Schizosaccharomyces pombe: one gene and its partners. Changing the gene in region 2 together with the main gene of any one other region gives a genetic interaction. Each region holds a gene or a part of one and is shown on either strand. Other genes may lie near its edges. The genes, in order: wss2, swi1 and tel2.

What was found.
Region 1: mutations in swi1 (region 2) and wss2 impair growth when combined (synthetic growth defect), as found in Schizosaccharomyces pombe (one study listed by BioGRID).
Region 3: mutations in swi1 (region 2) and tel2 impair growth when combined (synthetic growth defect), as found in Schizosaccharomyces pombe (one study listed by BioGRID).

The regions. Positions count from the first base shown.
Region 1 is NC_003421.2:1,778,782-1,782,125, forward strand, and holds wss2 (ubiquitin/metalloprotease fusion protein), read right to left. Parts: upstream 1,821-3,344; 5' UTR 1,680-1,820; coding exon 831-1,679; 3' UTR 741-830; downstream 1-740. Other genes in the region: proteasome core particle subunit alpha 2 Pre8, read left to right, coding at 51-414; cox12 (cytochrome c oxidase subunit VIb), read right to left, coding at 2,724-2,782, 2,856-2,963, 3,049-3,074, 3,139-3,154, 3,200-3,251. UniProt on the Schizosaccharomyces pombe protein: Metalloendopeptidase that acts selectively on DNA-binding proteins. DNA is needed to bring the protease and substrates together to enable proteolysis.
Region 2 is NC_003423.3:913,180-916,779, forward strand, and holds the start of swi1 (replication fork protection complex subunit Swi1), read right to left. Parts: upstream 1,601-3,600; 5' UTR 1,415-1,600; coding exon 467-1,414; intron 451-466; exon of another isoform or gene 392-450; coding exon 1-391. Other genes in the region: TORC1 serine/threonine protein kinase Tor2, read right to left, coding at 2,092-3,600. UniProt on the Schizosaccharomyces pombe protein: Forms a fork protection complex (FPC) with swi3. FPC coordinates leading and lagging strand synthesis and moves with the replication fork. It is required for programmed fork-pausing which is necessary for mating-type switching.
Region 3 is NC_003424.3:4,732,763-4,736,602, reverse strand, and holds the start of tel2 (TTT co-chaperone complex LRR repeat subunit Tel2), read right to left. Parts: upstream 1,783-3,840; 5' UTR 1,742-1,782; coding exon 1-1,741. Other genes in the region: SPOM_SPAC458.02C (mRNP complex protein), read left to right, coding at 2,788-2,883, 3,004-3,177, 3,275-3,840. UniProt on the Schizosaccharomyces pombe protein: Component of the TORC1 and TORC2 complexes required for the regulation of the cellular respons to changes in available nutrients. Required for normal entry into S phase. Regulates activation of the DNA replication checkpoint.

The DNA of each region.
Region 1 (3,344 bases), on a different chromosome or scaffold from region 2:
CATTATTCTGTTTTTTTTTTACTCTACTTTAAGCTAACTTCATTATTTAGTGGTGTTCGTCCGTTTGGTGTTAGTCTCTTGGTTGCAGGAATGGATGAAAAAGGTCCTTCTCTCTATCAAGTTGATCCTTCGGGCACCTATTTTGCTTGGAAAGCCACAGCTATCGGCAAATCATCTACAGCTGCTAAAACATTTTTAGAAAAGCGTTACAATGATGAACTTGAGTTGGATGATGCCGTGCATACAGCTATTTTAGCTTTAAAAGAAACTTTTGAGGGTGAATTAACTGAAGATAACATCGAGATCGCAGTAGTCTCTACGAAACCTACGGATAGTGGAATCGTTGGCGTACCAGGCGGACATTTTTGTCGATTGTCCCAGTCGGAGATTCGTGATTATCTCGACCAAGTATAAAGTTGAAAGTGTTAGGTTTATTTTTTCTTTATATTTCCTATACAAAAAAAGCACTAGCAATGTTTTGTTGCAAAAGTTGCTTTTTAAGTCCATTTTCACTTTCTTATTCAGTAACAACTTACATGAAAAAGACACGAGTTCGTCCACCCTTTGTCCATGAGATTCCAAGGTATTAGTTGTTTTTTTAAACTTACGTATGGTATTACACAGCCTGAAATTAGAAAGACTCATACTAGTGATAGCTGCTATATTCTATGACATGAATTAGATTTACGATTCCCAAACAATACGGTTCCTTTATTCTGTATAGTACAAATCACTCCAAATGTTTAACAACAAGACAGCATTCATTAGAAGAAACTATAAACATAGACAATAAATAGGGGAATTTGAAAATATAAGTAGTAAAGAATCCATTACTCCTTTTGGACTTTACTACCTGATTGCTTCCGCCTCTCCGCAGCGGCCAGCAGTAAGTCTCGTCTGTGGTTCTTTTGATCTTCATCGTCATTATCCTGTTGAGGAGTATAACTAGCTCGGTCACTAACATAACTACCAGGTTTGCCAAGCAAATCTGCTGCATCTGCTTCCTTTGTTAGTTGACGAAACAGCTCCCAAAAGGAGGAGTCGTGTTCTCCATGAACATTATGCGTCAATTCGTGAATTAATGTACTTTTCACAGTTTTGTAATCTCGAAAACCATCGTAACGGTCTGTACGTAAACGTAATTCAATATGTGCACCTTGATTATGATTGAGTCCCAGAGTTTTAGAGTCATGTCGAGTATGTTCAGCAGGGTCCATTTCACTAAGTAACGGGACAGTCCAGCGATGAGAATCCATAATTTTTTTAATGCCTGTATCGTCTCGCAGCCTTTCTAAATATCTCAAGGCACGATCCTTGTGAGGATAATCTAAAACCACAAGTTCATTAAATGTGTATATACTTGCAGGCTTTGGTGTAGTATGAGGCTTCTTCGGTTTCAAGCTGTATGTATTCGTGCTATAATCAGGGACCTTCAATTGAGAAATGGCTTGATTGACAATGTCTTTATCTTGTCTAATTAGACACATAATCTTCGATTCGTTTTTGACTACATCTTGTAAATGTGAGTCATCTGAAAGATTCCCTTTGTAGAGCAGCTTAATCAAACTTGGAGACACATCTATTTCTTGGCCAAGTTTCTCTTTAGCATCCAGCACAGTATCATTCTCATTAAATGAAAGAGCAATTACATTTCCTCTGCAACTAAATTTCAACTCCATGTGAATTTGGTAATTAGCAAAATTTCTAAATCTGTTTGACCCAATTAAACAATTGAGCTGAATATAAAAAAAAAACAAAGATATTATCAGTAAAAACTGAAGAAAAGAGAGTAGTGTAATTTTTGCTTATTAATTGGTAGTGGTTAAGTCAATAGACAATAGTACTAATATATATATACATACATTACGATTTAGACTGTGTAAGGTAGATGTGGCCTGAATATAACCGAAATGAATAACTTGATGGTGGCCAATTTTGCTGGTCTGACTAAGAACAGCCAGCTTTTTGTTCTATGAAATTCCAGCAATGCTAGAGTCCATTGTAGTTTTCTGGAAGTGAGTTGTAGAAAAGCGCGACAAAGTCAAGAACTATAGTGGTGTTTTAGACTTAGCAATTTAATTTAAAAAAGGTACCAGCCATGTTTAGTAGGACCATAGTTTCAAACTTGAATGTGGATTAACGATTTTCAAAAGTATGACTTGAAAAGATAAATTGGAATTATTTAGAAAATTTCTGTTTCTTGTACGGTAGACTTTTTATAATGGATACGATGGATGAACGTAAGTAAGTCACATGAATTTTAGATTTTGAAGACAACTATAAGCAGCGATAAAAAGTGTACTCAAAGTTAATTCATACTTCAATTAAGCAGGTTTAAGATATTTGACGGTCATAATAAAATCACTAAATCCAAAGTAATAATAGTTTATGGATTTACACATGCCATGTTCAGCAAATTTGTTCATATTTGATTCAAACACATGAGATCCAGCAAGATTTCACGCTCTTCATTTTATGTCATCAGTTTCGATTAGTTTTAAACTGTTAAATAGAACTTTTCACGAATGCAATGAATATATACATGAATCGTTTAATAACATATAACAAAGATCAATACAAGGGGTTTAAAGAAAAAGTATGTTTTCAATTAAAAGAATCAGCACAAATTTTAGCATAATATACTATTGATTGAATGATTTCAAAAGAACGGATTTGGTATTCATGTCCGCTACAGTAGTCATCGATAAAAAAGAAAGGCAAAACTAGATAGGGGCCGGGAAGGTTCCGTTTTCCCTTTGTTCGTCCCAGCGTTCTACCCATTCTGTCGAAACATTGTTAGCATATTTGCAGTTTAACAAGCGAAACCGCTTAACCTTCCAAAAAAAAGCACTTACCCATTGGGCACAAAGATTGATAAGCGTGCCAAAACTGTTTACAGGGGACAAAGTCTTCACCCTTAGCCTTAATACAGCGGAAATAATCAATGTAACTTTGGAAGCAATCTATCGTAGCAATGTGTTAAAAAGAGTCCTCATTATAACAAAAATTGACAACATATAAACGTCTTTTCAATAAAAAACAACTTACGTTTTGTTTGATTAGTGTTTGGGAATCTATATAGTAAATAAGATATTGTAAGTAACTTGTTTAATGATAATATCACCAATGTCATATTACCTTGCATCAAACCCAACTATGTCAACGTTAGCATTTGCTTCCTATAATATAGAGCTCTTACCTGTACCAAAAGTAAACTGCTTAGGTGCTTCTTGATCTTCTTGTTCAGACATGTTGTTTTGCTGCTAAATTGCTTTTTCGGAGAGGCGATTGGTAGAGGATACGTTCGTAGAGCCGCTTGTGAGTAGAAAGGAATGGGTCTAATA
Region 2 (3,600 bases):
GAAGAGTGAAAAGTAATTGAGTCATCGAAAGCATGGATGCTTGGAAGGTGCTCCATTGTTTCATTTCAAAGGATTCTACCATTAACCTGTTGTGCATAATCAAAGCTCGTTGGTCAAAAACGGAGGCTGCTAAGCCAAAACTATAATCATTAGAGTAAATTTCTTCTGTTTTTTTTGGTTTAGACGAAAATCTCATGAATTCCAAAAAAAATGACTGAACGTATAATAATTGCATTTTATGAATTGGAAGCACACGAGGATCTTCTCTTTCCAAGTCTTTTAAGAGAGACTGAAATAATGGATTGAATCCAGCTTCCAAAAATTCGACAGCAAAGTTCCTTAATGCAGTACCTGCCTCGGTATTGATAAAGAACGATTTGTTTATGTCATCCTAATATTGTTAGAATAGAATAGTTGAATTGGAAAAAAAAATTTAAACAAACATCGTGTTTAACTAAGTACATACAAAATGTTTTCGACGTGTTCCTCGTTTTCGAAAACGCTTATGAGAGTCAAGCTCATCAAGGCCGTCGGTTTTTATATTTTGGCTAGCAATAGTAAATCTTCTGTCTTCAGTTTGAACAGAAAGCATGGTTCCAAATCTATTATGCCTCGTATGTGCATTTCGTTTCAAATAGCGATTTTGGGTCGACTCTTTGAGGAGTAAGCTATTAAGTTCGGTTTGAGAGTTAGTCAATGAGGCATCAGAGAAAAGGGCTGATGGCTTACAACCTCTGATCAAGTTGTAGACTATTTCTAATATGTAAACATCAAAATGCTCAAATTCATCGAGATTCGAGACCAGTGTGACAATCAAATCTAATATATGAGCTTTCGCAAACGAGATAATTGTTTCATTTTTTGTTTTTAATTCATCGATTTGAAGAATGTTTCGAAATAGTAACAGCACTATCCTGATTATTCCCTTGTCTCTAAGTGTTCTGGATTCTGCGGGAGTACTTAAGGGCTTTAGTAAAACAGCTAAAATGGCGGATAAAACGCTCCCCTTCTTGTAAGATAAAATTGAATTTTTATAATTTGATTGAGCTTGACGCAGATTATAGAGAACATCAACATTTTCTCTGAATGTTTCATGCTCAGTCTCCAAAGGCCATGTTAATGGTACAAGAAGCTCAACACAAGCTAAAGCGATACGCCAGTTTCTGTAATTAGTAATGTCTTTATCCCAGTCAGAGAGTATTGGACATATATCATTAGTTACCAACTGTAAGCTCGAGAGCAAAGATCGAATTTGCCAAACTTTGTACTTTTCATCGACTACTTGAAGATAGCGCTTCAGATCCTTTAGGCAAGCCAAAGCTTCATCACCAAGAACGTACACTTTTTCATCGTCTGAATAGTCAAATCCTCCAATGGCAGAAACAATGCCTTGAATCACCTCATCTAATTCCATTCAAGTTGATTTGTTAAATCAAAAGCTCTCAAGTTCCTTTTTTTTGTATTGTCGGTATGCGTCGATAAATAAACCAAATTTAAGAAATTAAATAAATTTTAATAATTAAGCGATATTAATTATGTTCATGAATAATCGTATTCTTTTAAGATAAGTAAATTTGATTGTAGATACGTGAAGAGGGGTGGTGACAGTAAACAATGAATAATAAATTTTTAAAACAATATTTAACTTTTCAAAATAACTTGGATTTTTAAAAAAATGTGTGTAAAGTAAAACACTTTATAATTTAAATCGCATTAAAATGGCATTCAGTATTATATTATAAAATTCGATAATATGGACTCAACAAAACGAATTTGCTACCTAACTTGTACAATGCATAATTAGAATTTAGTTTCAATAATTTTCACAATTTCAGATGTAGAAATTTAGAGTTTATTATTTTCAGAATGATTAAGCAGCAAATCTTTAATAACAATATAAAGAGATGCATTCTCTACTACAAAATTCTAAAAATTCTGCGTCAAATTCAACATTTCCTCTATTTTGTAAAATTGTAAAACAACGTAATAAATTGTTACAGGACTCATTCATAAAGACTATTTACACTTTATTTAATATAGAATATATATATGATGCGGCAGAAAAGCAATTTGAACGTTTGGGACTGTCACCTACCAGAAACTACACCAGCCAATATAGCACAAGCATAGGTTCTCTATAGAGGTTGCTTGTAAAATCAGCTTCTCTACTTGACTTGGTACATCCAATTGCTGTTGGGGTTTGAAATCCCGACCAGTAAGTTTATTGGACACACGATTAAGAACGGTTATAGCTCTTTGATTGAGTATCTCGGGTTTTTGACGTTCTTCAAGTGTAATTCCTTCTTCGTTTAAGCGTTTCCGGTGTAAACCATCAATTGTCTCACCGAGAAGTGTATTAGGTTCGTTAGATTGCTTTTCATCGATAGAAGGTGAATATGCAGGAGCAAGGCGCCAGTTAATAAGAGGATCGTAAACGAAAGCTTCTAAAACTGCCATCACAGACTCCTTATTAGTACGAAGAACTCGCATAACATGTTCGCATGTTATCCGGAACGTCCCCTCTATACCACTAACTTCCATTGCGTTAACAAGCATTCGCGTAAGGCGGAAAGGAATCTTCTCGGGAAACTTTTCTCGATGCATTGCTACTTCAAAACAATCTCCAAAATCGATATGGATGATATTACCTGTATACCTGTCCAGCATCAAATTGGAAGGATGACGATCGCCCAAACCTAAGATGTACCCTACCATTGACATCACCGCAAGAGTACGAGAATAGTTAGTTCGCCTATTAAGCCAAGCTTCTGAGCTACGACTCTTCAGCCATAAAACGCGGTATAAATCCTGCCCCGTAGTACTAAGTAGGGCATATTCAAAGACTTCAACTTTCTGAAGGAGAGTGAGACGATCGTAATCTGGAGCCATCTGAATGATCAACCTATGTTCTATGTTGAGTAAAATCTTTCTGCTTTCTCTGTAGTCACGAATTAAGACATGCAAAGTATCGCTATCCAAAACCCAGCCTAAAAGGCCTGAATCCGGTGATAAAGGAATCACTGGATACCTTTGGATTGAAAGTAAGCGCTTAAAAGTTTCCGGGTCAGCTAGTAACAGATTGTTACAAAGCCCAAATAGCTGCATAACACGTTCATCTTGTCTGATGTCCTCGTGACCCTTTAAAACATATTGATAATCTTTTCCATCACTGCCTTTAATACTCAGTCGTCTCGGACGTTGCTTAGATGTTATCACGTTGAATGTAGGGTAAAACTTTACAATTCTTATAACAGGTTTCCCGCTAACGTATGTTCCCGGAACAGCTAACTCAAGATCATGTACATGTAAGAGTTTAGGAGAAACGTATTGTAAATCTAATGTTGTCAACTGAGGTAGCTGTTTACGAATTTTCTTGAAAACTTGGTAATATAAGTCCCAGGCCTGATTTAAGTCTGATATATCACCAGTTTGCTCAAAACGGATACAACAATCCCTTGCTTCGACTAAGTCACGTCCAAAGGCTTGTTGGAAAGAAATTTCACGAAGCGTTTCCGGACCACGTTCCAACATTTCATGCAATGGTCTCAACACGGCAAACATACCCTCAATGTTATGATCACCAAAATACAATCGTGAAGC
Region 3 (3,840 bases), on a different chromosome or scaffold from region 2:
GTTCCACTATAGCAGTCATTTGCATTTCATCAAAGTTCATTAAGTCAAATCGATTTTGTAAGGAAATTAACGTTTGTAACAATTCATCTGCATGATCTCGTAATTCGGTTCCAAAAGCAGACTTTCGTTTTATTAACTTAGAAGCGTTTTCCAGTGCAACACGTTGTTTCTCAAAACTTTCTGTGTCTTTTAACATTTTGCACAAATCTTGTACGTACACAGGAGAATGCGTCTTGGATCTAGAGACAGTTGGATCGTCGTCCGTGTCCTCACTGTCAATATCAGGAAAATCGTAAGGCTCCAAGTCATCTCCCCTTATTAAGTCATCGTTTTTAGAAATCACTGGCTTCTCCAAGTGAGTTACATTCGTCTCTTCCTTTTCTATCGAAGTCTCTGCGATAACACTTTCGTCATTCAAAATTTCAATAGGCAAAAATTCATCCTTGAGTGAGCTCAACGATTTGAGAACTTTTGCTTTCGTAGTCTTCATTATTGGAACGTCAAAGGCTAACGGGTTACTTAAGCTGACACCCGAATATGTAGAGATTACTTCGGCCATTATCATTCCATGCATTCGAATATCATCATCTAGACTATCTAAACGGCAAGATATTGCATTGGAGAACATTAGGGATTTGGAAAGATTATTCAAATATTTTGCTTCAAGTTTCGGAATAAATAGTAATAAATATATTGTTAAGCTCTCTTGAGCTAGCAGCGTATAGCTCCTCAAAAATTGCGCATTTGACCATATATTAAACAGAGAGTCCACTGTTTTTTCTAGCTCCTTTTTATCAGATTCCTTATAAGATATACTCGAACAAACTACTTCTACCCTTTTAATTATTAAATTTGTAGGGACGCCCCAATAAAATTCAATTAATCGAAGGAAGTGAGTGGATGAAAAGTTCAGCCTTAATAATGTAGCCAATGAACCTGTTATACGATCATCTCTTGCGGTGGAATATGAAAAATTGGTGGGATATTTGGTATTATGTTCAAGAAGAAGTTGATTGAGAAACAACATTTGATCAGAGACCGTCAAATCTGCAAATAATTTTTGTAGCTGAACACAAAATTTTTGTGTTAATGGAATCAATGGGTTAATGAATGCCTTTAAATTGGATGAGTGTAATAAATAATGGAATAGCTTTGAATATATTTCTGGGGTTTTAACAGCAGGTTTAGATATAATGCAAGCCAATTTTGAAGATAAAACGCCAATGTAGTCGGCCATTGATGAAGCCTTCAAACGTTTTGAATCATCGTAAACCTTGAAGGTAAGCATTGCAGCAGACATTGAATTAGTAATTTTAAAGTTTCCCAAGAAAAAAATAAATTCAGTCCACAAAGATTGCTTTTGATGATCAGATAATACAGTAGATTCCCATATCAATTTACAGTTATCGTCAAGGTCTATACATTCAAATGCTTTTTCCAGTAGCTCAAGATAAACTGTAACAAGATGAATGTTTTGCAAATTAGCCTCTTGAACAAAATTATCTAGTCGAACACATAGCAGTTTTAAGCCCAAAAGAGTAGAAAAACATTTTGCAAGGAGAAAATCTATTTCTGAATTAATTTTCCCATTCCAGAATGTGGGCACTATCACACTAATTAACTCATGATATAATCTTAGATTGCAAGGAGAAGGAACACCTATATGCTGCAGTTCTTTAAGGATTTCTTTTAAACGCGGCTTTTGAATAGGTTTGGATAGTTCGCTAGCAAAGGATTTCATATCCTTGGAGTTGAAAAATAACCGAATTATTTTGGGGTGTTGAGAAGACAGTAACCTTCGGTGGATTAATTCACCGGTCAGCAATCAGCAATATGCAGGATTATAGGCTGCTTGGCTAAAACAACACCAAAACTCTTTACAAAGTATATAGTTATTTTTAATTTGTTGTCCATGTAAATTACTTTAAATTCTATTAATTGTTTTTCATTCTATAAAGGTAATTTGAACTCAATTCATATAGTTTTTTAAATTGTGCTCTTAAACTTCCTGAGAATGGTGTATGCAACAATTACATGGGTAGCATCGGGATATTCTGTGAAACCTGTAAAGCTCTTCGATGTATTATTTTCACGGACTTTTCACAGCCTGAAATTGAATAGGAACTTACAATTTACGTGACAGAAAAAGGATATTATGTATAATTTAACTTAAAGACATTTTGTGCTTATATGCAATAGTTGTAACAAAAGAATGGATAGTTATGCTTTCAAATTCGCTTTCTATAAGTGAAGTATCCTGTTGCTTTATAAGACTAGTTGCAATATTTCTATTTGCTTTTAAAAAGCAAGTAACTTTTAGTTTAAAACTGTTTTTGTGTACCTCCCAAATTAAATGTTAATGCTCCGCTAATCGGTAAGCTAATCCGTGAGAAAAAATGCATTAATTTTTCTTGTTTCGTTCAAGTCAACACATTGCAAATAAAGGTCACTAAATTTACAATTCAGGATTTTTAAATTGAAATATTAAACATAATACGTGGACGAGTGCAAAAAACTACCAGTTTATTTAAATAAATAAAAAAAAAATATCATAACATGTATTATCGTAATCTTTTCCTTAGACTGCTCTTCACACGATGTCTGAATAACCGTCAACAAAAAGCTATTTATAAAAATTTCAGAAACAGGTAGTCTCCTTCACAGCACTGCGAACGAAAACTCTAGGGAAGCAAAACAAACGGAGTTTATCTGCCTTGTTATATACTCGTTAAACGACAACTCAACACACACCACTATCCACCACCAACAACAAAATCCTTAATAAAAATGTCATCTCATAAACCCGTTCGTCCTAATGAAGCTCTTCACAAGGAGGCTTTGGAGGAGCTTGATGCTAAGATCAACGAGGCGAAAAAGCGTTTCGTAAGTAGTTTTAAATTCTTGAATATTGAAGGCTAAGCTTTTTTTTTTTTTCATAACTATGAAAGCTTCAAAAAATCACTTGTTTCTTATATAGTTTTCGCATCTTAACTAATCAACTAGAATGAGCATAAGGAGAAGCTTGGTGCCATTCGCGGTGGTGGTTCATTGCAGGAGAAGAATGCAGAACTTCGCGCTGAATTAGACAATATTCGCAATGCTCAAGCAGCTATCCGTTCTTCTAAGCAAACTCTCATCAACAAAGTCAAGGCTCAAGATGAACTTTTGAAAAAGAAGGTATGTTTTGCATTAATATATGTAAGCACTAAAGTTTTGTGTTGGAAAACTTTATGAGCTTGGTAAAGAAACAAAATGTTTACTGACATACTTTTAGGTTAAGGAGTTGACTGCCATGAAAAAAACTGTTCCTTTCAAGTCAGAAGTGGAGCTTGATAAACATGTTAAACAACTTCAAGCCGCCGTTGACTCAGGAACTTTAAAGATTGTTGATGAGAAGAAATACCTGCGTGAAATTTCTCAGTGCAATCGTACTAGAAAGAGCTTCGTTGAGTTGAACGCTCTTCAAACTAGTATTGATACGATTAGAAATGAACTTAACGAGCTTCGTGATCAACTTAATGATTCAGAATCAAAGAAGTTGAGTGACAAGTTCGTAGAAATCCGTTCTGAGCTTGATGAGGTTCGTAAGCAACAAGACGGTTACTATAAAGATCAGCGTAAGCTCATAGCAGAAAGAGATGATGAGAAGACTGCACTCGATGATCTATATAATCAACGAAGAGCTTTACAACGTGAGTACGATACCCAATTGCGCGCATTCCGTACTTATGAACGTGAACAACGTGCCAAAAGACAAGAACAGTTTCGTCTTGAGCGTGAAAATCGTGAGAAGGAGAAGAGAAGAATTGCTGCTCAACGCAAGTTAGAAGAGGCTAGTAT